Linked DNA regions of Tamandua tetradactyla. The protein of the gene in region 3 purifies or fractionates together with the protein of the main gene of each other region. This does not show direct contact. Links are inferred from orthologs where the notes say so. Each region holds a gene or a part of one and is shown on either strand. Other genes may lie near its edges.

What was found.
Region 1: the proteins of KEAP1 (region 3) and SLK purify together in Homo sapiens (affinity purification with western blotting; 3 studies listed by BioGRID and IntAct, with this or other methods). This does not show direct contact. The link is inferred for Tamandua tetradactyla from reciprocal best matches to the Homo sapiens genes KEAP1 and SLK.
Region 2: the proteins of KEAP1 (region 3) and OTUD1 purify together in Homo sapiens (affinity purification with western blotting; 3 studies listed by BioGRID, with this or other methods). This does not show direct contact. The link is inferred for Tamandua tetradactyla from reciprocal best matches to the Homo sapiens genes KEAP1 and OTUD1.
Region 4: the proteins of KEAP1 (region 3) and RBX1 purify together in Homo sapiens (affinity purification with western blotting; 6 studies listed by BioGRID). This does not show direct contact. The link is inferred for Tamandua tetradactyla from reciprocal best matches to the Homo sapiens genes KEAP1 and RBX1.

Annotation. Positions count from the first base shown.
Region 1 is NC_135339.1:66,071,327-66,078,365, reverse strand, and holds the start of SLK (STE20-like serine/threonine-protein kinase), read right to left. Parts: upstream 3,013-7,039; 5' UTR 2,424-3,012; coding exon 2,274-2,423; intron 1-2,273. UniProt on the Homo sapiens protein: Mediates apoptosis and actin stress fiber dissolution.
Region 2 is NC_135327.1:227,112,095-227,120,114, forward strand, and holds OTUD1 (OTU domain-containing protein 1), read right to left. Parts: upstream 3,004-8,020; 5' UTR 2,891-3,003; coding exon 1,601-2,890; 3' UTR 343-1,600; downstream 1-342. UniProt on the Homo sapiens protein: Deubiquitinating enzyme that specifically hydrolyzes 'Lys-63'-linked polyubiquitin to monoubiquitin.
Region 3 is NC_135337.1:91,324,020-91,331,719, reverse strand, and holds the start of KEAP1 (kelch-like ECH-associated protein 1), read right to left. Parts: upstream 3,001-7,700; 5' UTR 2,847-3,000; intron 2,549-2,846; exon of another isoform or gene 2,471-2,548; intron 1,962-2,470; exon of another isoform or gene 1,032-1,961; intron 890-1,031; 5' UTR 843-889; coding exon 204-842; intron 1-203. UniProt on the Homo sapiens protein: Substrate-specific adapter of a BCR (BTB-CUL3-RBX1) E3 ubiquitin ligase complex that regulates the response to oxidative stress by targeting NFE2L2/NRF2 for ubiquitination.
Region 4 is NC_135333.1:34,060,723-34,067,613, reverse strand, and holds the start of RBX1 (E3 ubiquitin-protein ligase RBX1), read right to left. Parts: upstream 3,019-6,891; 5' UTR 2,963-3,018; coding exon 2,885-2,962; intron 1,037-2,884; coding exon 958-1,036; intron 1-957. UniProt on the Homo sapiens protein: E3 ubiquitin ligase component of multiple cullin-RING-based E3 ubiquitin-protein ligase (CRLs) complexes which mediate the ubiquitination and subsequent proteasomal degradation of target proteins, including proteins involved in cell cycle progression, signal transduction, transcription and transcription-coupled nucleotide excision repair.

The DNA.
Region 1 (7,039 bases), on a different chromosome or scaffold from region 3:
AATTCTATGATTTTTACACTAAGAAAACTGAGGTCCAGATAAGTGTTTTGTCCAAGCCCACAAACCTGGTTTGTGACAGTCAAGACTAAAACTCCATGAGTGATCTTCCCACTATAATAAAAGCCCTCATTGCCATATAGTTGGCTACCCAGGAAGCTCTTGCTGAAACACATCAGTCTACCCTCCACGCAAACACTAAACCTTGTCAACTTCTATAGCATATCATAGCTTAAACAGCATCCGCATGTAGGTAACATACTCTTTCATTTCAACAAACACGTATATTTTGTATCATACTAGCAACCTGTTTTCTGCATACATTGTGCTCCTTGAACATATAATATTTCCATGTACATTTCCTCAGGAGGATATTTCTTTGTGTAACCACCCTATGAACAGTTAATCAAGTTCGAGAAATTTAACACTGATATAAAATCTATATTCCAAGTTTTCAGATGTTCCAATAATGTCCTTCGAATCTTTTCTCCTGCATAATTAGATCCTGACCAGGATCACATACTGCATTTAATTGTCACTGTCTCTTTAGTTGCCCTTTTACATTTATATACATACACACACACACACACACTGTATGTCAGGCAATAGATGTACCTAAATGTATATTAGGGTTTTGGCCTCTGGTCATCTTACACAAACTTAACACATGTGACAAGCTCTATACTAGCCGTGTGAACTATATGTTTTGAAAGTATACAGGAGTGAATATTTCAGCCTGGGTAAATTAGACACAACAGTTAAGCAGAGCTTGAGAACTGTGGGTGTGAGTGAAATGCTTCACTTGAGACAAAGCAAAGACAGAAATATGACAGTACTTACAAAGCAGGGATGTTAAAATAAAAGATGACACTAAATAGGGGTCAGAAGACCTGAGTTCAAATGTTAAGCTCTGACTCTTGTGACTTTGAAATAAACAACTCTGAGTCTCAGTGTAATCTGTGAAATGTGGATAACACTGTTCACCTGCCTACCTCACAGGACTTTTGTCAGGGCCAAATTATATGAAAATACTTAAAAATTGCAGTCCTAAAAGGGCAACTAAAGAGACAATGACAATTAAATGCAGTATGTGATCCTGGTCAGGATCTAATAATGCAAAAGAAATGACTTGAAGAACATTATTGGAATATAGATTTTAGGTCAATGTTAAATTTCTCAAACTTGATTAACTGTTCATAGGGTGGTTACACAAAGGAATATCCCTCCTTCTTAGGAAATGTACATGGAAATATCATATGTTCAAGGAGCACAATGCATATAACATACATTGTGCAGAAAATAGACTGATATTATGATACAAACATGGCAAAATGTTAAAATTTGTGGATGTGGGTATGGGGGCGCATGGTGGAGTTCTCTGTATGGGGTTTGCAAGTTTGAAATTATTTCAAAATAAAAAGTCTAAAGGAAAAAAAACTGCAAAATCCTGTATAAACATATTTTTCACTCCTAGGGACTCCTATGAGTCCTTCTTAAACTGTGTTTCATAAAAACCTCACCGTTTGAGGTGAAAACACACCTATAACATCATTTTTATGCTCCACAGAAGAAAATAGTTAATGTAAATAACTTCAGGTTGAAAACCCAACCCTTTTTATTGAAATACATACATATAAATACGGGCGTATATATGTGTTTTAACAATGTTTACTATATATTTAGAAACTATTACCAGATGTAGGTTTTCTTCTGAAAATTTTCTATCAGAATTTTCATTCCATTTTATAATACATTGTCAAGCAATCAACTCAAGAATAATGCGCAAGTAACAATCATTTTGTTCTCATCCCAAAAGAAAGACCAGCTATATTCGCTACAGATGCAATCGAATAGATGCCGTGTACTCTAAAAAAAGGAACTGTTTTAGTGTAAGAATGCATACGAATGTAACCAGTTAGTAGATAAATATTATAAAACGCGGGAAAGTAGAATGAGTTTTTTTACTTTAAAATACTTAAGAGGTACTACTTTTAAATTAAAGAATACCCTCATCTCCTTTAAAATCTGGATAGAGTAGACTGTATAACCTTGACTATTTAACCACTATTTAAAGGCCCCATTTTGTTCAACATAAAACCCTACTGTCTTAGCCATTCCTTGGATAATAATCTAAATAAAGTTTCAGTGTGTGCTTACAAAGTTAAAAAAAAAAAAAAAAAGACAGGAAAGGGACAAGGGGAGCGAGAAGCGCTCGTGCCACTCCCGTAGTGGCTGTTTTATCTAAGAAGTGCAACTTCCCGTTTTCTCCTTCTTACCTTGTACACTTTCCCGAAGGCTCCGTCGCCCAACTCCCCTATAATTTCCCAAAACTCCTCGGGGTTCAGGTCCCTCTTCACATGTTCGTACTGCTTCTTCTTCCTCTCGCTCCCCAACTTGAAGATCTTACGGAAATTGAAGAAGGACATTTTTCCTTCCAACAGAGTTCCTTGCACTTAAGGACTAAAAACAACAATGAAAGGCAAAGTTTCTCCTCCCTCCTCTCTCGCGCGAGTCTAGCGGCAGCGGCCGCGGCGACGGCAACGAACACAAAATCTCCCGGCTCCCGCCGCTCGGCTCCGGGGGAAGGCGGGGCAGCGACGCGAGCTCCGGCGCAGGGGAAGGGGGAGGGGGTAGGAGGAGAGGACGGTCCCTCCCGCAGCCGGGTCCGCGGGGGCAGCCCGACTGGGCTCCTCACCCCCGAACTGTCCACTGGGGCGGCACCTGCCCCGACGCTCGTCTCTACCCGGCCCAGCCCGACCGGGACTGGGGTCCAAGCCGTTGGGACGTCTGCGGCCGCCGCGACTTAGGCCCGTGTCACGGCGAGTCTCCAGGGGCGGCGGCCACTCTTGGCGACTGTAAAGGCCCGCGGCCTCTGAGATGGGCAGCCGAGAAGGCGAGCTCTCCCGCTCAGGCCGCGAGCTGGAGGTCGCCGCGGCCGCCTGCTCCCGCGTCACCTCTTCTCTGGGGCGCAGCCGCCCAGCTCCCTACCCAGCCTACACAGCCTCGGCCTGGAGCGCGCGCCGCCGATTCCGCCGACGTGCGCCGGCCCGCGCGCCCGCATGCCCGCGTGCGGGCGGCCCCTCTGGCCCCGCGCACGCGCGTTCGGCACTGCGCACTAGCTGCTCTGAGCCGCTGGACTGCGCCGGCCGCAGGCGAGGTGTGGACCGTCCTTGCGCGGGGTCACCATTTGCCCTCCAAACCCCAGATCCTGTCAGCCCCCCCGCTTTGGTGGCGTTACCCCTGTGGCCAGGACCCTGTTGGTTGTGCCAGCAGTCGTTACCTGAATTCTGGATCTGGGAAAATTTGAGATTAAATCTGTTTTTGTGTATATGTTGTTTTCCACAAAAAAAGTCGATTGTGGTGATATATATGTATATTTATTCTTTCTAGCCTCCTATATTCTGGAGCAGCTAGAAGGAAAAAACTGAGAGGATGGTATGATAGCCCATGACAAACTCTGGGATCTACCCTGTAACTACTTGTTGAAGAGGGCTCTGAAAATTACTGCCTTTTTCTTTCTTTGCTTTGTATATATGTTATATCATACACTGAAAAACGCTAAAAAAAAAAAAAAAAAAAAGTTAAAGCTGAGTAGTCAGGGTTGCTGAGAGTGGACTATTTCTCAAGAGGATCCGAGCTGCAGTGAGAGGAGTACTGTGATGGTTGGGAGCTTCGGCCTTGGAGCCAGAGCTTCTCAGCTCTGTGACCTCAGGCGGGAACCTCTCCGAGCCTTAATTTCCATACCCTACGGAGGGCTTATGGCGAGGAGTAAAGGTCTGTAAGTCATTTGTAGGGCGGCTGCACCGTAAACCCTCAGTCTTAGTCCTTGCTGTTGTTAGAACTGTGCAGGTAAGACTGATATAGATAGAGAAAAATTGTTCAAACCACTTCATGAGTAATGACCGGGACATTCCCTTGTGGGTAACGTACCTCCTCCTGGTCACTTCCACAGCCGTATTCCTGGTGTCGCCCTTCAAGGCTACCTGAACTACTTAGTAAGGCGGTAGCTTCCTAGGCCTGCCTCCGGCCCCTGAGGACCAAGCTAGTGGTCAAGGGACTGCTGTGGGGCGATGTGAGCAGGAGTTGGCTGGAATCTGTCAGATGATGATCTTCCTCGCCCGCCTCCACCAGCTGGGAGCTTTTAAGGCAGTAGCTTGTTGTTCATAGTGGTTTCCAACCTGACAACATTCCTGGCATGTAGAAGGAAGGCAGAGCTGTTGAATTAATTAATTAATTAATGGAGGTATCTGGGGCAGAGGGAATGTTGCTATTAGTATAATGCCTACCTACAGTTCCCAACCACCATGTCCCCCTCCAGCCCCAAAACGGTATATACTGAAGCCCTTCTTTCAGTAGGAGGGTTATGATGACTTGGTTTCTCAAGCTCTCATTTTTTAATAGCTTTATTGAGGTGTAACTGATACACAATAAACTGTACATATTTAAAGTATGCAATTTATACGTTTTGACAAATGTATTACCCATGAAAACAATACCATAGTCTCTAGTTTTAATTACTAACATTTATGGACGTGTGACTAAATGTAAATAGGTGCTCATTGTGGAAAATACGGAAATACACAAAGAACGAAATTAAAAAGAAAACCCTGGAATTCCATCATCCGTAGATAACCATTGGTAAGATTTTATTATATTACAAACAGATTTTGGGGGAGGTGGGTGGACTGTACATTAATTTTTTTACCTGCATGAGATTAAAGGTTTGTATCCTGAACTTTTAGTGTTCACTTCCATCATGAGATTTTTAGATTATTTATAATTGTTCTGTTTTAAATGAAACAGTGATAAACATCTTGGAATACAAACCTTTTTTTCCCCACATACTTAATTATTTCCTGTGGATAAAGTATCAGTAGATTAGGGTCAATTTCCTTTTTTTTTCTCTGTCTTTTCAAAACAAAACTCTTCACTGTGTTTTTCAGATTATCATTATTGTAAATAATTCAAATAATTCAGGAATGATAAACTAGAAAGTTGTCTGGTAATTCTCCCTTCCTGCCAGCTCCACGCCCCCCCACCAACTCCACCTCCACCCTAACCATTGTTAAAAGTTAAGCCTATGGGTGTGAGGGAACTTTTTGAGGTAATGAGAAGTTCCAAAACTGGATTGTAGTGATGGTTGCACAACTCTATAAATTTACTAAATCCATTTAATTATATACTTAGAACAAGTGAATTTTATGGTAACTAACCTCAGTAAATAAATATAACTAGATTTTTTTCTACACATACACTTGCTTTAAAATATGAAAATGGTACCTACTTTTCTATAAAACTTTTTTTCCACTTTCAATGAATAATGGACTTCTTTCTTTCCATGCCAGTACAAATAGACAAACAGGTCTACTTAACTCTTTTTAATAGCTGGATAGTGTTCCAGTGTAGCTTTACCATAATTTATTTAAGCATTTCTCTGTTGATAGGCATTTAGATTATTTCCAGTTTCTTGCCATCATAAACAACACTGCAATGAGCAGGCATACACAGGCATCTTTGTGTATTTGTCTGATTGTATTTCCTTATGACAAATTTCAAGAAATGGAATTGCTGCGTCAAAGAGTATATTCAATTTTTTTTAACCTGTATTGCCAAATCAGCCCCCAGGAAGTTTGCACCAATATAAACTCTTTCCAACAAGGTATGAGAATGCCAGTTTCACCACATCCTCAATAACACCATCTTTTTAATCTTTTCCAAGCTGATGGCCCAAGATGGGCATTTTAATTTAAAATTCTGATTAGTGATATAACACCTTTTCATATGTATATTGGCCACTTTTATTTCTTTTTTTAAAATGAATCATCTCATCATATCAATGTTCTATAAATGAGGTAATAAAAGTCTAACATACTGTTGTGAAGTAACCATGGACCTGATAAAAACATTTTTTTTTTCACCCTGAAGTCACAGAAATCTTTTCATAATGCTGGATGAGTTGACATTTGGACAGATTCAGGTTTTCTCAGTAATTATCATGAAATCTAGATATCTGTGTTATTTGTAAATCATAGTTTGGCTTCTCTGAATTTTTAGACTTTTAAGGTAAAGTTTAACCAGTGACCATGTAAATATTTAACACACAATTTTTTGGCTCTACTTACCTTAAAAATAATTTAAGGCCTCACTAAACAGCTTGTGAGGGGGAGTACTAGCTTTACAGTTTACCTGGAGTGTAACCGTCCTTGATAATAATAAGAATATCATTAAAAATTAAAATTTTATTATGTCTTGAGTGCTTACTCCATGTCAGGCACTGTACAAAGTGGTTTATAGGCATCATCTCATTTAAACGTCCTATCAACCCTATGCAAAGTACTATTATAATCCCCATGGTTAAAGAGAGGAAAATAAGGCCAAGAGTTAAATAACTTGGCCATGGCCCCATAGATAATAACAGCTAATTGGGACTTGAATCTTGGTAAACCTAATTCCTTAGGATTTAATAACTCTACTAATTCCTTAACCTCACAGACTTCTATAAATGGATAGCTCACAGGATTGTTGCCACTGCTGTATCTCTCCTCTTTGCAACTTAAAAATGTACTCTACACACTGTCATCACTTTATTAGCTCACAACCATGTATGTGTATGTGGGTATAAATATGCGTGTATTAGCATTTATGTATGTGTGTGATTGTGTGTGTATCAGTGTGCATGTGGGGAATGGGAGCGTGTATATGTGTGTATGAAGCTGTCTGTATGTTTCTCTCTCTAGACTGAGAGCACTTTGAGGGCAAGCAGGGATTCTTTTTTCAGTTTTCAAAGCACTCTTCAACAAGTAATTACAGGACAGATCCCAGACTCTGTCATGGGCTACCATTTGATCCTCTCAGATTTTCCCTTCTAGCTGCTCCAGAATATAGGAGGCTAGAAGGCATAAATATTTTTTCACCATCGCCTTTTTCATTTTTATATTCCCTACATCTAGCCCAATGCTTTGCTACTCTTTAATTTTTTGTTGAATGAATAAATAAAAATGAAAGAACTTTATACCCAAGGAAAGTACATTACATGTCAGTT
Region 2 (8,020 bases), on a different chromosome or scaffold from region 3:
GATGACTCTTTGGAGTACTAAAATCTGTGCTGAGTGTGTGTGGAACCCAAAACTATGACATTTATTTAGACACTGTGCTGGTTAAAACAATACTTCCTGCTCACTACCAATAGATGCCGGCACATCTACAGGAATTATAATTAGAAATAATGAGAGCGATTTCTTGAGTTATTCCCCTTTAAATTATGTTTCATTGACAGACTATACTTAGGATATAATAATTATTATCCCATCCTGGTCATGGGAGACCTTAGGAAACCTCTGTGCCATTTTTGCATATGAAAAAAAACAGTGAAGATGTAAGAAGTCATTTTCTAATTTAAAAACCACTTTATCCAAGCAGACGTTGTAAAACTATTCATTTTATTCATTCATTCCATCAACTGAGAATCGCCCTAGTGTACAAATACAGTATTGTACAAAATTCACAAAATGTTACAAATTAAAAAAGTACAAACTGCATTACTTAATAAATATGACTAAAAGTAGCTAAAGTGGAAATGAGATAGATTTTAGGTTGGGAACATTGTTTGACCCAGCAAACCATACAAGCTCTGTTTACAGACATTTTTACATAATACAAGGCAATTCTATTTTGCCTTTCAAGAGAATTTATAAGGACTAGAATAGTCAGACAGTTTTCTCCTGCTGTAAAATAACTGCCAAAGCTGGATGGAGGCATTTATGCTGTTAGTTTTTAAATCTTAGTGAATCCAAGAAGATACATAAAGCAGGAGACTGCCACAAAGTTCTGTGCCATGTTAAAATCATTTTATAATAAAGTGACAGAAATAAAAACAAATGAGAGCACCAGACAACCCACTCCACACATCAACCAGAACACAGATTGCCACTCTGCTGTCAGCAAAAATTAGACTTTCAGTCAAGTAAGAGCTGGTACTACCCCTTAAAGAATAAAAAATAAAAACAAAAACAAAATTCTCCCACAACCTTCACTTAAGAATTTAGCTTTGAAGTAAAGGACTGACCTTTTCTAGAAAAATAAAAACTCCCCAAACAACAAATTTGTTTGTTGAATCCAAACGGAATGGGCCCATCATCTGTGAATACATCAATACATCCACGTGAGATAATTAAGAATTGTAAAACTCAAATTCCAACCCCACAAAATAACTATTAAATCACAATCTCTGTTCTAAATGATAAACTAGTTCAAATTTATAAAGCACTTCTCTGGATTTATGCCTGGAAGCTGTCGGCCAAAATGGAACTCATCATGAAGGAAGGTCCACGATTTTTAAAAACATTGTGCAAAAATACATTTTTATAGAAAACAGATGACCAGGAATGAACACATTTACACCGAGCGAAATGAGCTTGCAAATTAAGTGGCGATAACTTTATACAGCAAATGACAAACAGCAGAAGGATCACCCAAAGCTGTCGTGAAACATCGTTCAGGTGCTCAGCAACCTTCAGCTCTGGGGAAAACACATTCAAAAAACATGATTAAGGCATTACACCTATAGTAACTCTACTAGGAGGTTGAAAAGTGCTATTACCCTGATTTAGAGTTCATGTGATTCTCCAAACACAAGTTAAGGGTGCAGTTTTCCCAGGGTGTCGGTTTCCAGACGTCTCAGGAGCAGGCGTTCTGTTCAATGTACATTTTGGACAGGGATATGGCCATGGACTTGGCCAGTTCTTCGTCGCGTTTCCTTTGCACCTGAGTCTGTTTGCACCAACTGTCATACTCGGGATTGGGAAAGGACTGGTCGAACACCGCATCGTAGTGTCCGTTGCTGAGCCAGCTGAGCCAAATGCTGGGTCTTCGGGCATCTTCCGGGCCCAGGTAGTGCGTCATGGTGGCCACCGTGGGGCTCTCCGGCTTCCCTCCCGTCGTGAGATGGATGTTCACGTTCAACATCTGCCCCATGGCCAGCAGTTCGGGGTACCCGGCCCACGCCCCGTCCTGGGCGGCGGCGACGATGAACTCGCCCACGTCGCCCTCGATCAGCGGCCCGAAGTGGTCGAGGTGGTCGGCGATGTGGTGCACCGTCTGCTCCCGCAGCTCGCGGTGCAGGCTCTGGTCCCCCGACACGGCCTTGCTGACGGCGCGGTACAGGCAGTTGCCGTCGGGGATGATGTGAAAGCGGTACTTGTTCCTCTGCCGCAGGTACTTGTCCTGTTTCTCCACCTCGGCCAGGTACAGGGCCAGCTTCTCGTCCCTGGGGTCCGCCCTGGGGACAACCCCCGCCTCGGCCGCGCCGCCCCGGGCAGCGGGGCCGCCGGTCGCGGGGGGCGCGTCCGGGCGGGCCGCGGGCTCAGGGTGGGGGGCCGGGCGCGCCTCCACCGTGCCGGGGGCGACTCCGCGGTCCGCGCCCCTTTCCCGCCCGCGGGCGCCGCTCTCGACCGGGCGCGCCTCACCCCATGGGCCGGGGCCGGGCTCAGGGCTGCCGGTGGGCCCCCGGCGCTGGGCGGCGGCCAGGGCCTGGCGGTGCTCGCGCAGGCGGAGGTCGGCGGCGGGCGGCGGACGAGCTGGGCCGTCGGGCCGCAGCAGCCCGTCCAGCAGCCAGGCCGGGGCGGGTGCGGCACGGCGCGGCGGGCCGGGAGGCGCGGGCCCGCGCAGCAGGAGCGCTTCGGCGCCCAGGGCCCGCACGGCCGCCTGGGGCGGCGGGCGGAGGGGGGCGCCGGGAGCCGGGGCGGGCGCGGGGGCGCCCTCGAAGCAGGCGGCGAAGGCGGGCATCGCGGCAGCGGCGGCGGCGGCGGGCTCTCGGGGCGCGGCGGGCGGTTGCTCCCGGGGCTCGGGCTCCGGCTGGGGCGCGCCACTGGCCGGCGGTGGCAGCGGGACCTTGAAGGCGGCGGCGGGGGCGGCGGGCCGCGGGGCCCCGGCCGGGAAGTGCGCGCAGACGCTGCTGTAGAGCTGCATGGCGCCGCCGCCGCCCTTATAGCGCGGGGCGCGGACACACCCTCCGGCCCGCAGCCCGGCGCTCCCGGAATAGAGATGACCCAAGCCCGCGCGTCACTGCCGAAGAGCGCGGCCGCCAAGTGCCCGCTGCGCCAAGGCGGGGGGAGCCTCGGCCGCGGACCCGGGCGCCGCGCCCGCCCTCTCGGGCCTCTCAGGTGCGGGGAGGCCGCGCGCGCCGCTGCGTCGGCCGCGGGGAGGGGAGCCGGGGGCGGGCCGGCGCGCTTGTTTACCTCAGGCCGCGCGGCCAGTCACGTGGGGCGCCGGCGGATGCGCTCGGCGCGCGCCCGTTCACCCGCGCGCCCCGCCCCCTCCGGGCCCGCCCCCGCACGTCCCGGACGCCGCCTCGGGCTCTGGCCCTGCCCCCCGCCCGGGCCCCGCCGCCGCAGCCCGCGCCCCGCCTCCCCAGCCCCGCCCTCGTAGTGCCCGGGCAGGTCCCGGGCGGGGCTGCGGCGCGCAAGGCGGGACCTGGCAGCGGGTCGCGGGAGGGGCGGGAAGGTTGGCTCTCCGTGGGGGCTCCTGGGTGCGCCCCCTTCCCCCCTTCGGCCCCGGGCACCAGCGCAGGGAACGGGCGGCGCGGCGTCTGGGCTGGCCGAGCGCTCCGGAAGTCTGCCTGCGGCAGGAAGCTTCGCGCTCGGCGCGCTGTGCTCTCTGCACGCTCAGCGCCTCGCGCCTGCTGCGCTTTTCCAGGCGTTCACTTTGATTCAGGCCCCTCGGCTAACGTGACACCCTGGAGACGACCCTGCCGGTCCCTAGAAAACGCCAGCCGCAACCTCCTCTCAGGCGGGTCAAGCGTAGGCGCCGCTTTGCACGGGAGGATGAGCTTGGCCGGCCTTTGGAATACCAAGTGCAGGCCCCTGGCCCCCTAAAATAGGTGCGGCCGCACCCGGGGCCCTAGGACGTGGAAATACTTGGACCGAGCTGAGCAGGCGCGCTCCGCGATGAAGGGGCCAGAATCCTAAAATTAGTCATCTACTGACCGAAAGCGGGTAGCTGTTGGCTAAACCTGGAGTATTGATCAAACGGCTAAAGTAGCAGGTCAGAGTCGCTCTTGTTGGCCCGGAGGTTTACCCAACATCTTAGAGATGGAAAAACCGAGCCTTTAGGTTAGGATGGAGGCCACCCCCGACCCTTCGCTGGGATAGAAATTCCATGAGTGGAAAATCTATTTCGCTATTGTATTGTCATCCCCTCATGCAGTGCCTGGCTCGTGTTTGGAGCTAACAAGTATGGGGTGAATGAAAGGGAAACGTGACTCCCAAGATTCCTGCTAGTGGAAAAGCCAGAACTATCATCCAGGTCGGGGCTTAGTTTGCAATGACAAATGCCACGCGCTGGCTGGTTTAAATAACAGGCCTTTATTGGCACCCAGCTGGAAGGCTAGAAGTTCAGCATGGAGCCCATGCAGGCGGTCGCTTCTCCTGGAGTCTGCTTCTGGTGCTGGCTGGCTGGCAGTCCTTGGGGTTTCTTGGCTGGTGGACTTGTCACGTGACCATCTCTCTCTCTTCTGGCTTCTCATCACTAACTGCATTTCCTCTGCGTGTAAGGACGGCAGACATAGTGGGTGAAGGCCTACTCTCTGCAATTTGTCTTCACCCAAATGGGATCTTTGAAGATCCTGCTCACAAATGAATTCGCACCCACAGGACGGGGGTGTGGGGGGTGAGACTTGAACATGGCCTCGTGGGGAACACGATTCAGTCTGTCACAGGGTCGCCTAATCCTAGCCCTGCTTTAGTTTGCCATGGGAGGCACGACTGTCCAGCGGAGGCCACTCCAGCCTCCACTGAGTCAACTTCGGAGAAGGCAAAGCACCGGCCTAACCATCTTGTACACTTGTGGTCACTCCCCCATTGGACAGTTGGCATTAGGTGCTTCAAACGGACATCCACTCGTAGCCTCTCAGTACCTGGTGTTCTGAAACAGAAGACAATAAATACTACTAACGCTAAGATAATCCTGACATAATATTTACCAAGTACCTGTTGTGTGCGCAGCACAGTGAGTGTAACAGGAGCTGGGAGGGAGAGAAGGAAAATATTAAAATGTAAATCCTCAAAGCAAGAATGTGTTTTAACAGATTGGAGTAAACACAGGAAAATAGGTGGGGGGGGGGGGGTGAGGATGGGAGAAACTAGGTATACAGAAGACAAGCTAAGTCTAATGCACCAAATTTGGAACAGATATAAAGAAAATTATGAAAATCCAAAGCTTTCATGTACGTGAAGCCATGTTTTTCCTTTTAGTATGTGTGGGGAAGGTGGGTTGCACAAGGTGACACATTCATGTGGGAATCACCATCCACCCCATCTCTAAATCTGGAAGGTCTTCCTGGAGGAGGCAACAGATGAGGAAACTTTCAAAGTAATGCTGATTGCCAACCTTGAACATAGGATGCTGTTTTATGCCCTTAAAGGCTAAGAGAAGGCAAAATCTTGTAAGCAATAAAGAGATTAGGAGGGGAGAGAGAGGAGGACACATTTGATTATTTGAGCAATCTCCTCTTTACCCCATTTGAAAACAATTACTAGTAATTCTGTTCTGGAAAATCATCTCTCCAGCTTATTTCAGTATTGTGCAAAAAAAATGGTGGATTGTTAGGAAAATAGGATTCTAAACCAAAATTGCCTAGTTTTCAAATAGATTTAAGGAAAAAAGAAACGTCAGCAACTATCAACCAAACAGGAACAACTAAAGAACCAATAAAATTAAAGCAAACCAAAACAAAGCACAAGATATTAATCAGTAGGTATTATGGAGCCCACTCTGTGCTCCCAGCCTGGTGCCAGTCCCAGGGGATTCAGCTACAGTGTCTGGCATGTATCCAGGCACCAGAAACCCAGTCCCCACATGCATTTTCATATCCTACCTGACATGTTTTTGAAGATACCTACACCTAAATATCACCATCTCTTGGTTATATTCCTTTAAAAATAATAGAATTCCCAAGCCATTCCCCTCTCCCCAAAATAATTCAAACTTTTTAAAAACTTAAAGATGCATCCGTTTATTAATTTATTAGATAGTCATTTCTTTGTAAGCCTACTATGAAAATCTTGAGAAAAGAAGAACAAGGTTAAAGTTCTCACACTTCCCAGTTTCAGAACTTATTACAAAGCTACAGTAATCAAGACTGTGGTACCAGCATACAGATGAATGGAATAGAATTGAGAGTCCAGAAATGAATCCATACATTATGGACAATTGATTTTCAGCAAAGTTGCCAAGAAAATAAAATAGGGAAAGATTGGTGTTTTCCAAGCTACAGCACAATTCGTGCTCTTGATAATCTTTTGGTAATTATTTATATAAAAAATAATTGAACATTATATTCAAACATTTATTGAGCGCTAATATATATAGAGGGTATATATTAAGTATGTTGGAGTATGTCCCAACTTAACCATACATAGAACCAGCTCAACTTAAGGATGATATATATACAAGATATCATATATATATATATATATATATATATATATATATAGGGTTGTATATACTTTGTTCGCTGGCAAAAAGAGATTCTGCCACACATATCAGGCTGTCAATAAATATTTTCTGAATGTTGTCAAATAAAAATGGAATTTAGGCAGTAAAGGCAAGCATCTTGAGAACTGATGTGCGGGTTGTTAAATATGCATTCTCAATGTTCTGTTAACTTTACGATTTAAAACGAACAAATAACGGGTATCATGACATGCAAACCCTCAATATTCTTTCTTCAGTTCATCTACCACTAAAGACAGGTCACTGGCTGCAAGTGGAATTTCCAGGCAGGAGTGATAGGTGCTTTGAATTATTAACCTTTACGGTTCTTACTGTGGTTTGAAGCTGTATGTATCCCAGAAAAATATGTTCTTAAATCTCATCTGTTCCTGTGGGTGTGAACCCATTGTAAGTGAGACCGTGGATGAAGCTACTTCAGTTATAGTGTGACACACTTCAATCAGGTTGCATCTTAGTCATATTACTAGAGTCCTTGATAAGCAGAATGAAATTCAGAGAGAGTGAAAGCAAGAAGCAGAAAGCAATGAAACCTAGAAGAGAAGGGAGAGACCAGCAGACTCCACCATGTTCCTCACCACCGTGTGACAGAGAAGCCAAGAATTGCCGGCAGCCAGTCTCAGGGAAGAAAGCCTCACCTTGATGATGCCTTCCTTTAGACATTTTCCAGGCCTCAAAACCACGAGCAAATAAATTCCCTTTGTTTGTCCACATCCATTTCGTGGTATTTGCCTTAAGCAGGCTAGGAAAGTAAAACAGCTCTCCTGAATCTTGTGTAACTTTAACAAGATGGTGGTTAAAATAAAATGCTAGATGAATTATTGCTTATAGGAGTTTATTTTGAGCAATTTAAGATTCATGAATCAGGCAGTATCCAGACCACATTGTGGCAAGGCACTCCCATGGCAGTGGAAGGGGGAAGCTTATGTAGGGCAAGTCTAGAAGCAAGTGAAGAAATTATCTAATTGGTGGATTGTTTCCATTTTACATAGCGGGGGGCACTTAAAAAGTGGGAAGCAGATATACATTGTTGTGGTATTCTTATCTATTCTGATAAACTATTTCTACTGGACCAAAACTGGCTAATCACCAGATACTAGTTATCTACAGTTCTGTAAATTACATTCCATTGTTCCATTTTCTGGGAACGCTCCCATAGGTCAATTGTTTTTGTTTTCTGGACAATCCTTTCTGGGAAACGGGGTCCCACTGGGCAATGCCTAAAGCAGTTGGCCATTTAACTTATGGTAAAAAAGAGAATCATTGAAAATCTTCTTTAACTAAAGATCTTACAATGCCAGGAAGTTTAAGTCAATCTGTGATAGCTAGATCAAATATTCTAATAATCAGCAGATTTTTGCTTATTCTAGGGGGAAAAGCAGTATAAAAAATGGAGAAAGGCTAAAAGGTTATTGACTCTGGAGTTTGGGCAGATCCTTTCCATGAATAGGCCGAAAGGCTATCTTGGGTGGAACTGCTACAACAGCAATTTTCATCTTAGGGATTCAACGGACAATGGAGGGAAAGGAAGGAAAGTCAGGCTTATTTTCATGGGGAGGTGTAACTGATGTAATTTGTACAGAATCATGT
Region 3 (7,700 bases):
CCTACCCGGTCCCCAGCTTGACCCCAGAGACCCATGAAAACCTCACTTTCCCCAGCCCTTTCCCTACTGTGTGGCCCCGAAGCTCAGAAGCCCATCTCCCCGCAGCCACCTGCCTGACTCTGCACACACGACGGGGACACAGACCCGTGAGGAACTGCCCGCCATCCCGGAGCGCCCGCACGGCCCGGCTTCTCCGTGCTCACCTCCCCGAAGTGCATGTAGATGTACTCGCGGGCGCGCTGGTGCAGCTCGGCACAGCCCATCTGCTCGGCAAAGTTGGCGATGCCGATGGCGTTGCTGGGGTCCAGCTGCTGCACCAGGAAGTCGCTGCAGGCGCGGACGACGCTGTCAATCTGGTACATGACAGCGCCGTTCATGACGTGCAGCACGCACTTCTCGCCCACGGAGATGGACGCCGTGTAGGCGAACTCGATGAGGCGCTCCATGACGCTGGGGTGGATGCCCTCGATGGACACCACCTCCATGCCCTGCTCCCGCAGCCCGTTGGTGAACATGGCCTTGAAGACGGGGCTGGACGAGGCCAGCACCACCTTGTGGGCCATGAACTGGGCGGCCGGCGTGTCCTTGTACTTGACCTGCAGCGTGACGTCGCACAGCTGCTGGCTGAGCCGCAGCTCATTCATGATGCCGAAGGCCTGCTTGGTGTGGTCCTCCAGGGTGTAGCTGAAGGTGCGGTTGCCGTGCTGGGAGGGCGTCACTTCGGCCTTGCACTCGGTGAAGGCGTACATCACCCCGCTCCCGGCCCCCTCGGGGCGCTGTGACCACGTGGGCAGGAATCGGCTGTGGGCCCCCGCCCGGCTAGGCCCGGGTTCTGGCTGCATGGAGCTCCGGGCAACGAGGGACACCGCTGCCACTGGCACTCAGGGGCCTGGAGAGGGAGAGCACTGTGTTGGGGACGGGCCTGGGGCTTCCTTCCGTAAGCTAAAGCGATCCCGGCATGGGTTCCTTTCCCAGCAAACCAGGTGATGCAGCATCCATTTGCACTTGCTAACCGCTCTCTATAATCTCACCAGCAGGAGGGCCGTCTTAAAACACAGGTCGGGTCATCGACAGCCCCTGCTCAGAATCATTCGACAGCTCCCCGTGGCGTGCAGAATAAAACCAAACTCCTCAGTGGCCTGCAAGGCCCTGCCCATAAAGCCCCTGCTCACCTCTTCCCTTTGCCCCCTCTGTCCCAGCCATCTGTGGCCTTTCCCTGCCTCGAGCACACCAAGCTCTCTCCTTCCTTCACCTGTCACACATTTATTGAGCACCTACTGGATGTCAGGCAGTGTTTTAGGCACCGAGGACACATCAGTGAACAAGAGAGACCAACAAAACAAAAACAAAACCCTGCACTCTCATGGAGCTAACATTCGGAGAGGAAGAACCATAAAACCCAAAGCTATGAAGAACATTAAAACGGCCTCATGACACAGTGATGAGGGGTGATTACTTTAAACCTGGGGTTCCAGGAAAGGCTTCTCTGAAAAGGTAAAGTAGGAATAACTGTGAAGGCAGGAAGGGGAGTGGGCTGCAGGCAGAGGGAACAGTGACTGCAAAAGCTCAGAGGCAGAATGAAACAGACCAGCAGAAGCAAGGGAGGAGGAGGTGGGGCTGCATGCAGTGTAGACAATGAGGGATGGGAGTGTTAGATATAGCCTGGAGGGAGGACTGCTGGCCAGGAAAAGGGGTGCAATCCCTAAGAGTTTCTCAGCTCAGAGTCACCTCTCCTGAGGTTTCATTTTGATCACTGCACTTGTCAGAAACTGAAAGCACCTCCTTTGCTAGTTGGCTTCAGGATTAAGTGTCCCTCTGGCCACCAGTCCCCCAGGGATCTCTGTAGCAGGAGCTCTTGGTTAAGTCACAGGCTGTGTCCCCCACCCCATCCCATGTGCCTCCCCCTGGGGTCTGGCACTGCCCAGGGGTCAGGAAACGCGGGTGGCCGGCTGGCAGGCTGCCCACTCCCCTCGCCCCGGCCCGAGGCTCTCCTCCACCCGGGCACCACCGGCTGAGGCCGAGGCCCAGGACCTGCCTCTTCGCCTCCTGCTCAACTCCCCGCAACCCCGCTCCCGTGGCCCCCAAGAAGCGACAAGTGGGCACTGCGCATGCCCCGCCTGAGCCGCCGCCAAGGCCTGGAGAAGGCAGGAAGTGACCCCGCCGCCAGCCCCAGGGAGCGGACCGAGCCCCCCGCCCCGGCGCCAGCAGCAGCAGAAGCAGCGGCGGCAGCGGCAGCAGCAGCGCCCCGAGGTCCCCGGGCCTCGGTGCGAGCGACGTGGCCTGGGCCCCCCCGCCTACGTCCCTCCTGGGCCGCCCCGTCCAACTAGGGGATGGCACCCGGGCCGCGCCCTCCCGGCCCTTCCCCGGGCCGCGGGGATCCCCGGAGGCGCCCGGCCCGCGGCGGCCGGCTCCCCGACCTCCGGGCTCGGCCGCCGGGCTCGCGGGCCCCGGCACAGGCCGCCTCACTCACCCCGCCATGGTCGCGCTCGGGCTCCGCCTCCGCCGCCGGGGCCCCGGCGCCTCCATCGCGGCGCGCGCGCAGGTCACCATGACTAAGCAGAGCCGGGCGCCCGCGTGTCAGAATAAAAGTCCCCGCGGCCCGGGCCTCGGGCAGCCCCGGGAGGGGGGCGGACAGGGCGCGCTACCCGCCTTCCGCACCCTCGGTCTTCCCCCCTCCACCCCCCGCCGCGGCCGCGGTCGCCCGGGCGCAGCCCCAGCGCCCGCCCCTTCTGCGCGCCCAGGGGCCTCCGGCGCTCGGGAACCGGAGCCCCGGGGTTCGAAGCCCGGGCGCTCTCCTGCCCGCACCGGGGACCCCCGTGGGCAGCCCTCCCCGCAGCCGCGCTCACCTCGGGCCCCGCGTCGGCGCCGGAGTTCGCAGGTGCCACGCGCTCGCGGCGCTTCCGGGACCCGATGGGGGCTCCGGCCCGGTCAACCGCCGTCAGGGACCCGCGGGCACCTCCGCCGTCGGGGGGCCTGGGCTCCCGGGCGGCCTCGGGACGCCTGGGAAGGAGGCGGGGAGAGGGTGGGGAGGGCGCGCCTGGGCCGGAGCCGCGATTCCCCGCCCTTCCCGCAGGTGCAGGGCGCCGGGCCGGCGGGGACCTGTCCTCTTTGCGCTGTCCCTTCCATCGTCCCGGTTTGGTGGCAAGGGCCTCTGGGCGCGAGGCTTCCCTCCACCACCTGCTCTTCCTGTAGGCCCGCTGGGGGCCTTGGCCACAGGATCCGCTCAGAATTAGCTACACGGTTGGGTTTTCATTGGCTTTCTTCTTTAGTTACCTCTTCTTACAGGGAGAGCGGACCGAACTACTTACACTGACTGGAAAAGAAATAGACGATCTCAACCCACCAATAACGAGTAAAGAGACCAACTCAGTCATCCACACCCTCCCCAAAAAGAAAAGCCCAGACCAGGTGGCTTCACAAGTGAATTTTACCAAACAGTCCAAGAAGTAAGCCAGCCCTGCTCAAACTCTTCCAAAAAAATTAAATAGGGGGCCAACCAAAAGCATTATTGCCAATTCTAAGGAATACCTAGGGCATTATGTAAGATTCCACAAAGGTTCCATGCACTAGAGTAACTTTCCAGAAACCTTCAACCTCCAGATGGGTCTCTGGACCAGATAAGTCCTGAAACCTAGAGGCCCAGCCTCTCCAGAATGTCAGCTAGTTCCATCTCCCTACCCCATATTACTGACAGCCCCTTCCAACATGAAAAAGTTAGAATGGGCATAGCCCAAATACCCCTAACGAGTGAGAAAGATCAAAGGTGATGGTGGCGTTTATACAAAAACAGTCGGTTTTACAAATGAGTATGACTGCTGAATCATTATATTGATTTTTTTTTCAGTCTCCAATATGTTAGAGCAGCTAGAAGTAAAAACCTAAAATGGTGGAATTGTAAACCATACACCAAACTCTGGAATCAGTTTGACAACTAATTGTTGCAAAGTGCTTTGACATTTATTGCTTTTTTTTGTATATATGTTATTTTTCACATACAAAAAAAAGTTTTAAAAAATTTGAATGGGGGAACACTTCCTAATCCATTCTATGAGGCCAACATCACCCTCATACCAAAGCCAGGTTTTAAAAAAAAGGAGAGAGAGAAAAAGTTACAGAGCAATATCCCTTGTGAATATTGATACAGAAAGGCTCAACAAAATACTAGCAAACCAGACTCCACAGCACATTAAAAGAATTATACACCAAGACCACGTGGGCTTTATCCCAAGTATGCAAGGAGGGGTTGAATTAAGAAAAATCAATTGAAGAATGCACTGCATCAATTGAGTGAAGGGAGGGAAAACAAATGATCATTTCAACTGATATAGAAAAAGCATTTGACAAAATCCAGCACCTCTTGGTAAGAACACTTAAAATACTAGGAATCAAAGGAAACTTTCTCAACACAGTAAAGGACATATATGAAAAGCTCACAGCTAAAATTATACTCATTGGTGAAAGACTGAAGGCTTTCCCTCTGAGATCTGAAATAAGACAAGGCTACACCTGTCACCACTGTTATCCAACATTGGGCTGGAAGTTCTAGCAGGGGAATTAGGCAAGGAAAAGAAATAAAAGGCACCCAAATTGGAAGGGAAGAAGAAAAACTTTACTTATTTGCAGATGACATGGTCCTCTACATAGAAAATCCTGAAAAGTCCACAATAAAGCTACTCAAATTAATAAACAGATTCAACTGGTGAATACAAGATGAACATGCAAAATTCAGCACTGTTTCTATATACTGGTAATGAACAATCAGAACAGGAAATCAACCCAAAAAATCCACATACAATAGCAACTTAAAGAAATATCTAGTGAAGGACTTAAATATGGAAAACTACAAAACATTGCTAAAAAGAAATCAAAGAAGACCTAAGTAAATGGAAGGACACTCTGTGTTCATGGGTTGAAAGACTAAATATCTTACGTCAATTCTCCCCAAAGTGATTTACAGATTCAATGCAATCCCAATTCAAATTCCAACAGCCTTCTTTGAACACATAGAAAAGCCAATCATAAAATTTATTTGGAAAAGTTAAGGATTCCCAAACAGGCAAAACCATCGTGCAAAGAAAAACAAAGTTGAAGGGATCATACTTTCTAATTTTAAAACATATTACGCACAGAATCTAGACTATAGGTTACCAGGAAATAGAATGAGGCTAAAGAATAGGGAGCAGTTGCTTAAAATGTGCAGAATATTTAACTAGGGTGGACTTAAATGTTTGGAAATGGGTAGAGTTGATGGTAGCATGTTATCGCAAATATAATTATCGGTGCAGAGTAGTGTGGGAATGCGGTGAAAAGGGGAAGTTTAGGGTCATGTCGTTCACCAGAAAGAAAGCTGAAGGTTAAAATATGGGAATACATAATACAATGAGTCTGTGGTAGACGATGATTGTGATTATCAATACAAATATTGAAAAGTTCTTTCATGAACTAGGTCAAATGAGTGACACTGTTATAAGGAGTTAATAATAGAGTGGCACAGGGGGAAAGAAAGTAGCTACTGCAAACTGTGGACTAGAATTAACAGAATATCTTAATATTCTTTCATCAGCAGCAATAAATGTATTGACTCCAATACTAGGGGCCAATAATAGGGAGGGATAAGGGATATGGGATGTTTTGGGTTTTCTTTTTTATTTTCTTTTTCTTTTTTTTTGAGTAATGAAAATGCTCTAAAATTGTGGTGATGAATGCATAACTATGTGATGATATTGCCAGTAAATAGTTGTATACTTTGAATGGATCGTATGGTGTGTCAATATAGCAATAAAACTGCACTAAAAAATATTAGAAACCTACAGTAATCAAAACAGTATGGTACTAGCACAGAGAGACATGTGTATCAGTGGGAGAGAAGTGAGAGTTCAGAAAAAAAAACACCCTCTCATCTTTGGCCAATTTATTTTTGACACGAATGCCAAATCCACTCAATGGGGAAAGAGGAGACTCTTCAACAAACGGTGCTGGAATGTGTAAAGGGATGAAGTTAATATGCAAAAATTAACTCAAAATGGATCAAAGACCTAAACATAAGAACCCAAACTACAAGACTCCTAGAAGAAAGCCTCGGGGGAAATGGGCAAAAGACTTGAATAGACATTTCACCAAAGAAGACATACAGATGCTCAATAAACATTTGAAAAGATGCTGAACATCATTAGTCACTAGGGAAATGCAAATTAAAACCATAATGAGGGTGAGCCACGGTGGCTCAGCAGGCAGAGTTCTCGCTGCCATGCCAGAGACCCGGGTTCAATTCCCGGTGCCTGCCCATGAAAAACCAAACAAAAAACATAATGAAGCACCATTTCACACCCAATAGAATGGAAACTATTGAAAAAAAAATAACAGAAACTAAAAAGTGCTGGTGAGGACACAGAGAAATAGGAACCTTTTTGCATTGTTGGTAGGAATGTAAAGTGGTGCAGCCACTGTGGAAAATAGTTTGGCGGTTCCTTAGAAAATTATGTACAGAATTACTGCATGACCTGGCAATACCACTTCTAAGTGTAAACCCAAAATAAATGAAAGAAGGGACTCAAACATAATTGCATATTGATGTTCATAGCTGCATTATCTGCAAAGTCCGAAAGATGGAAGCAACCCAAGTGTCCATCAGCCGATGAATGGATAAACTAAATGTGGCATATACACACAATGGAATATTATTCAGCCGTAAACAGGAATGCAGTTCTGATACTTGGGACAACATGTGTGAACCCTGAAGACATCATGTGGAGTGAAACAAGCCAGAAGACAAAAGGACAAAGATTGTATGATCTCACTGATATGAAATAGCTAGAATAAGCAAATGTGTAGAGTCAGAGACTGGAAAAAGAGTACCAGGAACCAGGTTGGAGGTGGGGAATAGAAAGTTAGAGTTTCATTGGTACAAAGTCTCTGCTTGGGGCAGTGGAGAAGTTCTGGTAAGGGGTGGTGGTGATGGCAGCACTTTGTCAAAGTAACTGACACCACTGAGTTAAATATTTGCATGTGGTTGAAAGGGGACAATTGGGGTTGCATATTATGTTAGCAGAATAAACAATTTTAACAAAGAACCATGGGACTGAACACCACAACCAGTGACCCCTATGGTAAACTAGAGACTCTAGTTAATAGTATAATTATAATGGTATTCTCTCACCATACTAAGGAGAAGTGTTGATAACAGGAAAAGCTGTTAAAAAAAAAAAAAGGATAAGATCAAAAACAAAAACAAGAAAAAAAAATAGGGAAAGCTGTATGTGTGAGGTGGGGGTTATATAGGAACGCTGTGCTTTCTGCATGATTTTTCTGTAAATCTACAACTTCTCGAAGTAAATAAACAAATTTTTAAAAAATGCATGGACCTCGTCTGTCTCGGGTTGGAATCCCAGCTCTGCAACTGGCTAACACGTGTGAAACGACCCCATGCTTAATAACCTCCCTGCTAGATTATCCTGGCACCCAATAGATATAAACGATTGTTGTGTTTTCCAGCACGAGGGATACTGATTTGCCATTTATGCCAGTTAGGCTGTGAAGTTAATTTTTAAATAAATATTTCTAAGTTTCTTTTTAAGGCAGTCCATCTGAGTGGAAACATTTCATAGAAGTGAGGGAAGTTTGGGAAAGGCTGGGCTGAAGAGAGAGGCAGGTCTAAATAAGGATTCCGCGAGCCTCCGGGGGGTGAATTTGGAGGATAACCC
Region 4 (6,891 bases), on a different chromosome or scaffold from region 3:
GTAGGAGATTGAAGAGGGAGAGAATATTCCAGACAGAAGGAAGATGCTATGCAAGGACACTAATAAAGAGCATGGAGACTTCAGGAATGGAAAGACAAGAGAACTATTACAGTGAGTAGCAGAGTGGCTCAAGGTGAGGCTGAAGAGGCAGGTGAACCATCTCAAAAGTAAGTACCCTTTTCTTGCCTGCCATGTGGGAGACCTGGTTTCAATTCCCCGACCCTGCCTATGCCAAAACAAAACAAAACACAATTTCAATTCTAGAACCTTGAAGTTTCTTTGCCTGATTTCTGATTTCATTAGCAAACCAATTTAGTATGTGGATGAAAAAGTAACCTCAATTGTTTCAGTGTAATCAATCTTCTCCCTCCCATTACTACAAGGATACTAAATTAGTCAGTTAACAGCTACAATCAGATTCACTATGTTTTGATCACCTTATGTAATAAATATATAGAGATTTAAATCAAATTTCTTTAGTGAATTTAATTGCCTATTTAGATGTTGGTAGTGATGTCTTTTTTACTAGGTATGGGGCTAAAGTTGCAAATCCTTACTTCTTCAGCTTCTTTTCTTTACACATCTCACCCAGCAAAAACTAGCTTGGACAGAATATTTTAGTTCAAAGTTTATTTTCTTCCTTTTACTACTTCTGCCTTTGAGTCTGGGTAGGAGATAGGAAATATAAAGAGAAAGAATCTACAGTGCCCCTGTGTCCACAATTCATTCTAAACGTGGCCTTGCTCTCTTTAGAGCAAGTTGATTTATTTTAAGAACTGGGTATGTCTTCAAGACAATCCAAAAACTATTCTGTTTCAAACACACCAAGAGACCAGGTGCAGAAGACCCCAAGCACTATGTTTTATATCTTTCCTGAAGAAGAAAACTGATCACATCAGGATAGCAACAATCCTTGCAACCTTCTCAACTTGCTCCCATGCTCCTCCAATTACTTACAAAGATCCATAATGTGGTTCCTGCAGATGGCACAGTTATCAACCACAATGTCCCAGGCCCAGAGGGCTACCGCATTCCACTGCAAAGAGAGAAAAGGGGGAACAATGCACTTCCCTTGTAACATATTACACACACATTAGAATTTCGTACTGCAGCTGGAGTTAACATCTTCTTTGGCCACATGGACCACCAAACAAGAGTTTCTGGATATTACACTACTCTTATTACACCAGAGGACAACAATAGGCTACATACAATCTCGTCCATTCTCCAAAATGTTAAGCACATGAAATTAATGTATCATCTTTTAATTTAATTTTTTCCCAGACCTAAAAATATTTAGTCAGCCACTTCAATGTCAGCAATCAGGAATAATTTTTAAGGGCTTGTTTTAGTCTTAATAAGCACAAACTTGCATCACTGTGCAGGTTCCCCAGGCAGATGCACAAGAGATCAGTCTGCATAGATAAATTCTGCTCTTAAAGGCAGCTTTGGAAGCATGAGTGGGGAGGTGAAAGCTAGGAAGAGAATGAACTAAGATGATGACCGGAGCATAAAATGGGTAATCTTGGATTGAAGTGGGTAAATACCAACAGTATTAGTACACAGAACAATGTTACCACTTATTTCTTACAGCATCGCTCCATAACAAACTCTAGAATTCACTGAACTTTTAGTTCCTACTCTCAAACAAATGTTCTCAAGTTTTATATGCCCACTTCTACATATGACTGAGATAATTCCACTAAGAATTTATCTAAACCCAGTATCTAAGTATTTCAACCTCTGCTTCTGCAACTATAAATACTCCCAAGGCCTTTTTCATCCACTAATTTGGCACCACTCCCACCCCCTCATCTCCTGCAAGCCAAATCTCAGTGTCTAGCAACTTCTTCAGCACTTTTTACCCCACAGCTTCAATTTGGAGGAAAAAAGTCTACTACTATCTTCAATATGGCTGCTGGCTGTAACTGGGCATGAAGTGCCCATAACGAGACGCAAAAAAGCACTAGGAGAATATTTTTAGTGTTTAGCCAGATATTCCAGGAATAACAGCTTCCTTATTTGAAAATCCTCATTTTGAATAGATTTATTTCATCTTAGGTGGAAATCCACACTTTTCTCCCAAGCTGTTGGCAAACCACTAAAAGGGATTTCATGCAAAGACACGTTCAACATTTTTGCTTTCCCACTTCTAACAGGCCATTCGCAACTCGTACTCAACCCTTCCTAAACGCTACGAGGTTTGGGCTTCATATGCTTTTGGGGGGAATAGGGGGTGGCTTCTGGACATGACGGAGAACCACAAGACTGAGACGGATGCGTAACAAATCAAAAGAGCCAAGCATAAGAAATGAGACTCTAACTTGGTGGGGGTGAAGGCCAGAGATGGGGCAGAGAGGCCTTGCTTAGGCGAGGACAACGTCGGGATCCCTCAGTCAGTGGGACCGCAAAGCTTCAAAAAGGGGCGGGGTAAGGAGATCGTAAGCCCAGCTCTACAGAAACCTCCATTGCGGTAGGACCTCAGGTTCTCGGCTTTCGCCGCACTGTCCCATCCTCCACTCACTGCAGTAGCTCCGACTCCCCCATCCACCCACCCCACTCTCTACTTCCCCCACCCCTCAACCACTCCAGTGACAGCTCAGGCGCTTGGCTCCCGCGACCAAGTCGCAAGCCGGAGTAGTTCAATAAACACCTCAGTGATTGGACCCTCAGCCTAAGAGCGAAACCAATAGTTTCACTGACAGTGGGTCGCAGACACGCCGATCAACCCTAAGACCCACCCTCCGGCTTCCTTTCGGGGGTACCCGGTCCCAGGAACGCCCTGAAATGAAGCCCTTTTCTTCGCGCCTCGGTCACCCTCGGGCCTGCCAGCCAAGTCCGCGCCTGTCTAGCTTCCTTGAGGAAGCAGCTGGCGAGACCCAACCTTTTTCACTTCAAAGCGTTTCTTGCCCGCGCCGCTGTTAGTGCCGCTCGGGGTATCCACGTCCATCGCTGCCGCCATTTTGGAAACTCACGCTCCGTCGCCTGGCCACTGCGCCTGCGCAGCGCCGCCCGCCCCCATCCTCCCCTCCCCCAAGCACCTCCTCCCGCACCCCACCACTGACTGGCGCGCGAGGGGCAGATGGGGCGGAGCACGTGAACACGCCTCTTAAAGGCGCTGGAGCAGGTTCCCCCTTGCGTCGGCTAGGGAGGAGGCGGTGGCCTGGGCGGCTGGGGCGGGGCCGGGCGGGGCCGAGGCGCTGTGAGCGAGCCGGAGGAAACCTTGGAGGAGACCCGCGCTAGTCGCCTTCTGCGGGCTTCCACGCTCCCTCTGCTGGGGCGGCGGCTTCTTCCTCTCCCTTGGCCGCGACGTGCGGCCCAGGCTCTGCCCAGCCTCCGCTCCCTGTGCCGGTGGACCGCTCGCCGTCTTCGGCTCCCCACACTGCCCTTTGGTAGATCCTGACCCGCGTCCGAGCTAGGCCGGAGGTGCAGCCACCTTGGGAGGCCTGAGGATGGGCAAACCCCGGCCCAAGCACCGTTTGGTTTCCTGATTTCAATTCGGAAAAGGCTCAGGGATTCGAAGAGGAGGGAAGAAATGCCTGAGCCTTCTCCTCAAGGCCAGAGTGAGCTGGCATTTTCCTTCCGCGCTTCACCCCCCTCCGCTGCCCCCCCCCCCCCCGCCAGAAATAGGTGGAGGAGGGTCAGAAGCCTGGGTGATAATCATCTCCAGCCTGCTTTGTAATGCTAGATGGTTCTCGATGGCCTCTGCTTAAGGTCCACGATTTCAGTGAACTCACTTGAGTACACATTCCCCACTTGAGTACACACTCAATGTGTACTCACTTGAGTACACATTCACCATTTCATCTAAACATAGGGCCCTTCTCCCTCGTTTCTTGTCACGGTTGAGCTCCCTGCGCTATAGTTACGCTGACCTATCTGGGATCGCCGTACTTAAAATTTCTGTCGAGCATTCTGCCATTTATCCTTACTGGTCATTCCTTCCCATCCAAAGCACCTGCACCTGTCACATTCTGGTTCTAGGTTGGGCCCTCTTTTACATCTGATCTTGCAAAGATATGAATCAGCTAATCACTCTTAAATCTTGTAATAGTTTATTTGAAATGTTTTCTCTCAAAAGGAAATTGGAGATAACCTTCCCACTATATGGGACATGACATCCAGGGGCAAAAGTCTGCTTGGCAATGTGTAAGATGACTCCCAGGGATGAGCCTGGCCCTGGCACCCTGAGATTGACAATGCCACCCTGGCCAAAATGGGGGAAAGAAGTGTAACGAAATGAGGTATCAGTGGCTGAGAGAGATGGAATACAGTCCAGAGGCTATTCTGGAGGCTACTCTTAGGTAAGCTTCAGCTAGATACTGCTATTTACCATGGTTTGTCAAACCCCAATCAAAAACATTCCTGCCAATCCTAAAGAATACCTAGGGCTGTATCTGAGAGTCTACAAAGATTCCATGCACTGTGATTACTTTCCAGAAACCTACAACCTCTAGATGGTTCCTAGGCCAGATAAGTCCTGAAACCCAGAGGGGCCAGTGTCTTCAGAACATTAACTAGTTCCATACACCTATCCAATATTATCAATAGCCCTTTCCAACATGAAAAAGTTAAAATGGTAATAGCCTAGATACCCCTAAAAATTTGGAGAAAGATCAAAGGAGAAGGTGGAGTTATAGTAGAGAAGTTAGGATTTAAGAAACGAGTATGACCGCTGAATCATTATATTGATATTTCTTTCAGTCTCCAGTGTCTTGGAGTAGTTAGAAGGAAAAACCTGCAGTGGAACTGTAACCCATACCAAACCCTGAAATCTGTTCTATAACTAATTGTTGTGTTATGCTTTGAAATTTATTGCTTTTTTGTATATATGTTATATTTCACAACAGAAGAACAAAATAATAGAGGGGTATATGGGGAAAATGCAGTATTGTAAATTATAGACTATAGTTAACAGCACTTAATATTCGTTCATGAATAGTAACAAATGTACCACACCGATGCTATGGGTCAATGATGGGGGATAAAGGGTATAAGACGTTTTGTGTTTTCTTTTCTTTTTTTTTTTGGAGCAATGAAAATGTTCTAAAATGATACTGTGAGCCATTGATTCATTGATTGTATGCTCTGGAAGGAGTGTATGGTGTATGAATATATCTCAATAAAATTGCATTAAGAGGAAATTGGAGAGCAATAGTGTGTGTTGTTTGACTCCATTGCTAAATTGGAAGAACTGTGATTTGTTTCCTTGCCTTGGTCATTAACAAGAACCACAAGCCTGTGAAAACACTATCACGTCTTTTACCAGACTTGAAAAGTGAAAAATTGGGTGAGATTGTAAAGTATCTTAGGAACCCTACAAAGTTCTTCTTAGCCCAATTTTGTTAATGATACCATGTTAAACTTTTCTGCTGTCTAATTTACTGTGTACCTATAGGATCCTATGGAAATAATAGCAACCTATGTAAATTAATGTATTGAGGCATATTTATCCATCATTTAACAAATGTATTGAATACTTATTACATACCAGGCCCCATTATAAACAGGAGAGACAGTGACTGAGTCAGTCAAGGCCCCTCCTAGAAGGGAAATCACATGTAAGTCCACAGCTAAATGTATCAGAAAATCTCAGATAGTGATAAGTGTTATGAAGGGAATGAATCAAGGTAATGAGACGAGGGTGGGGGAGGCAACATTAAATCGGGTGATCAGGAAAGGCCTCTCTGAGGAGGTGACATTTCAGCTGAGGCCTCAGTAATGAGGCACCTGCTAGGGTCTGTGGGAGGAGCAAGTAAGTGCAAAGACCTTAAGGCAGAAGTAGGCTAGGCTTATTACAGAAATAGAAGGCTGTGTTCTAAGACTTGTAAGACCCCACACACCCCTTCTAAAATATCTAAGACTCCACGCACCCTTCTTTTCCTCTTACCCTGCAGGTCACATCATCTCAGTCTCCTTTGTTGGCAAATGGCCCCAGGTCTTTTGTCTACTTCTCCACCTACATTTACACCCTTGGATGACTCCTTCCTATGGCTTTTTTTTTTTTTTAATTGTGGTGACATTCATAAAGTAACATTTTGCATTTTAATTATTTTCAGGTATATCATTCAGTGGCATTAATTACATTCACAGTTTGCTACCTCTATCACTGTCCATTACCAAGATTTGTACCACTCCAAACAGAAACTCTATACCGATTAAGAGCTTCCCCTCAGCCCCTCCCCTTGACTCCTGGAAACCTCTAATCTACTTTCTGTCTCTGAGTTTGTTTATTCTAGGTACTTTATAGAAGTCGAATCCTGCAATATTTGTCCTTTTGTGCCTGGCATTTTTCACTTGGAATGATATTTTCAAGGTTCATCGGTATTGTAGTGTATATTGGAGCTTCATATTTTTTTTCTGAATAATATTCCATTGTATGGATATACTGCATTTTGGTCATTGATCTGTTGATGACACGGGTTGTTTCCATCTTTTGGGTGTTGTGAATAATGCTGCTATGGACGTTGGTATAAAATTATTTGCTTGACTCCCTACTTTTAGTTCCTTTGGGTATACACACAGAAGTGGGATTGCCAGGACATATGGTAGTTTTATGTTTAAACTTTTGAGAAACTGCCACACTTTTCCAAAGCGGCAGAAACTTTTCACATTCTCACCAGCAATGTGCAAGTATTCCAGTTTCTTTACATCCTTGCCAGCACTTGTTACTTTGCATTTTAAAAATAATAGCCATCCTAAAAATAAACAATAGAAAAAAGAAAACAAAAACAAAAATAATAAAAAAGAAATAATAACCATCCTAGGGGATGTGAGGAGGTATCTCACTGTGGTTCTGATTTCTCGTTTCTCTAATAGCTGATGATGTTGAGGATCTTTTCATTGACTTATTGGTCACTTGTATATTTTCTATGGAGAAATGGCCATTCA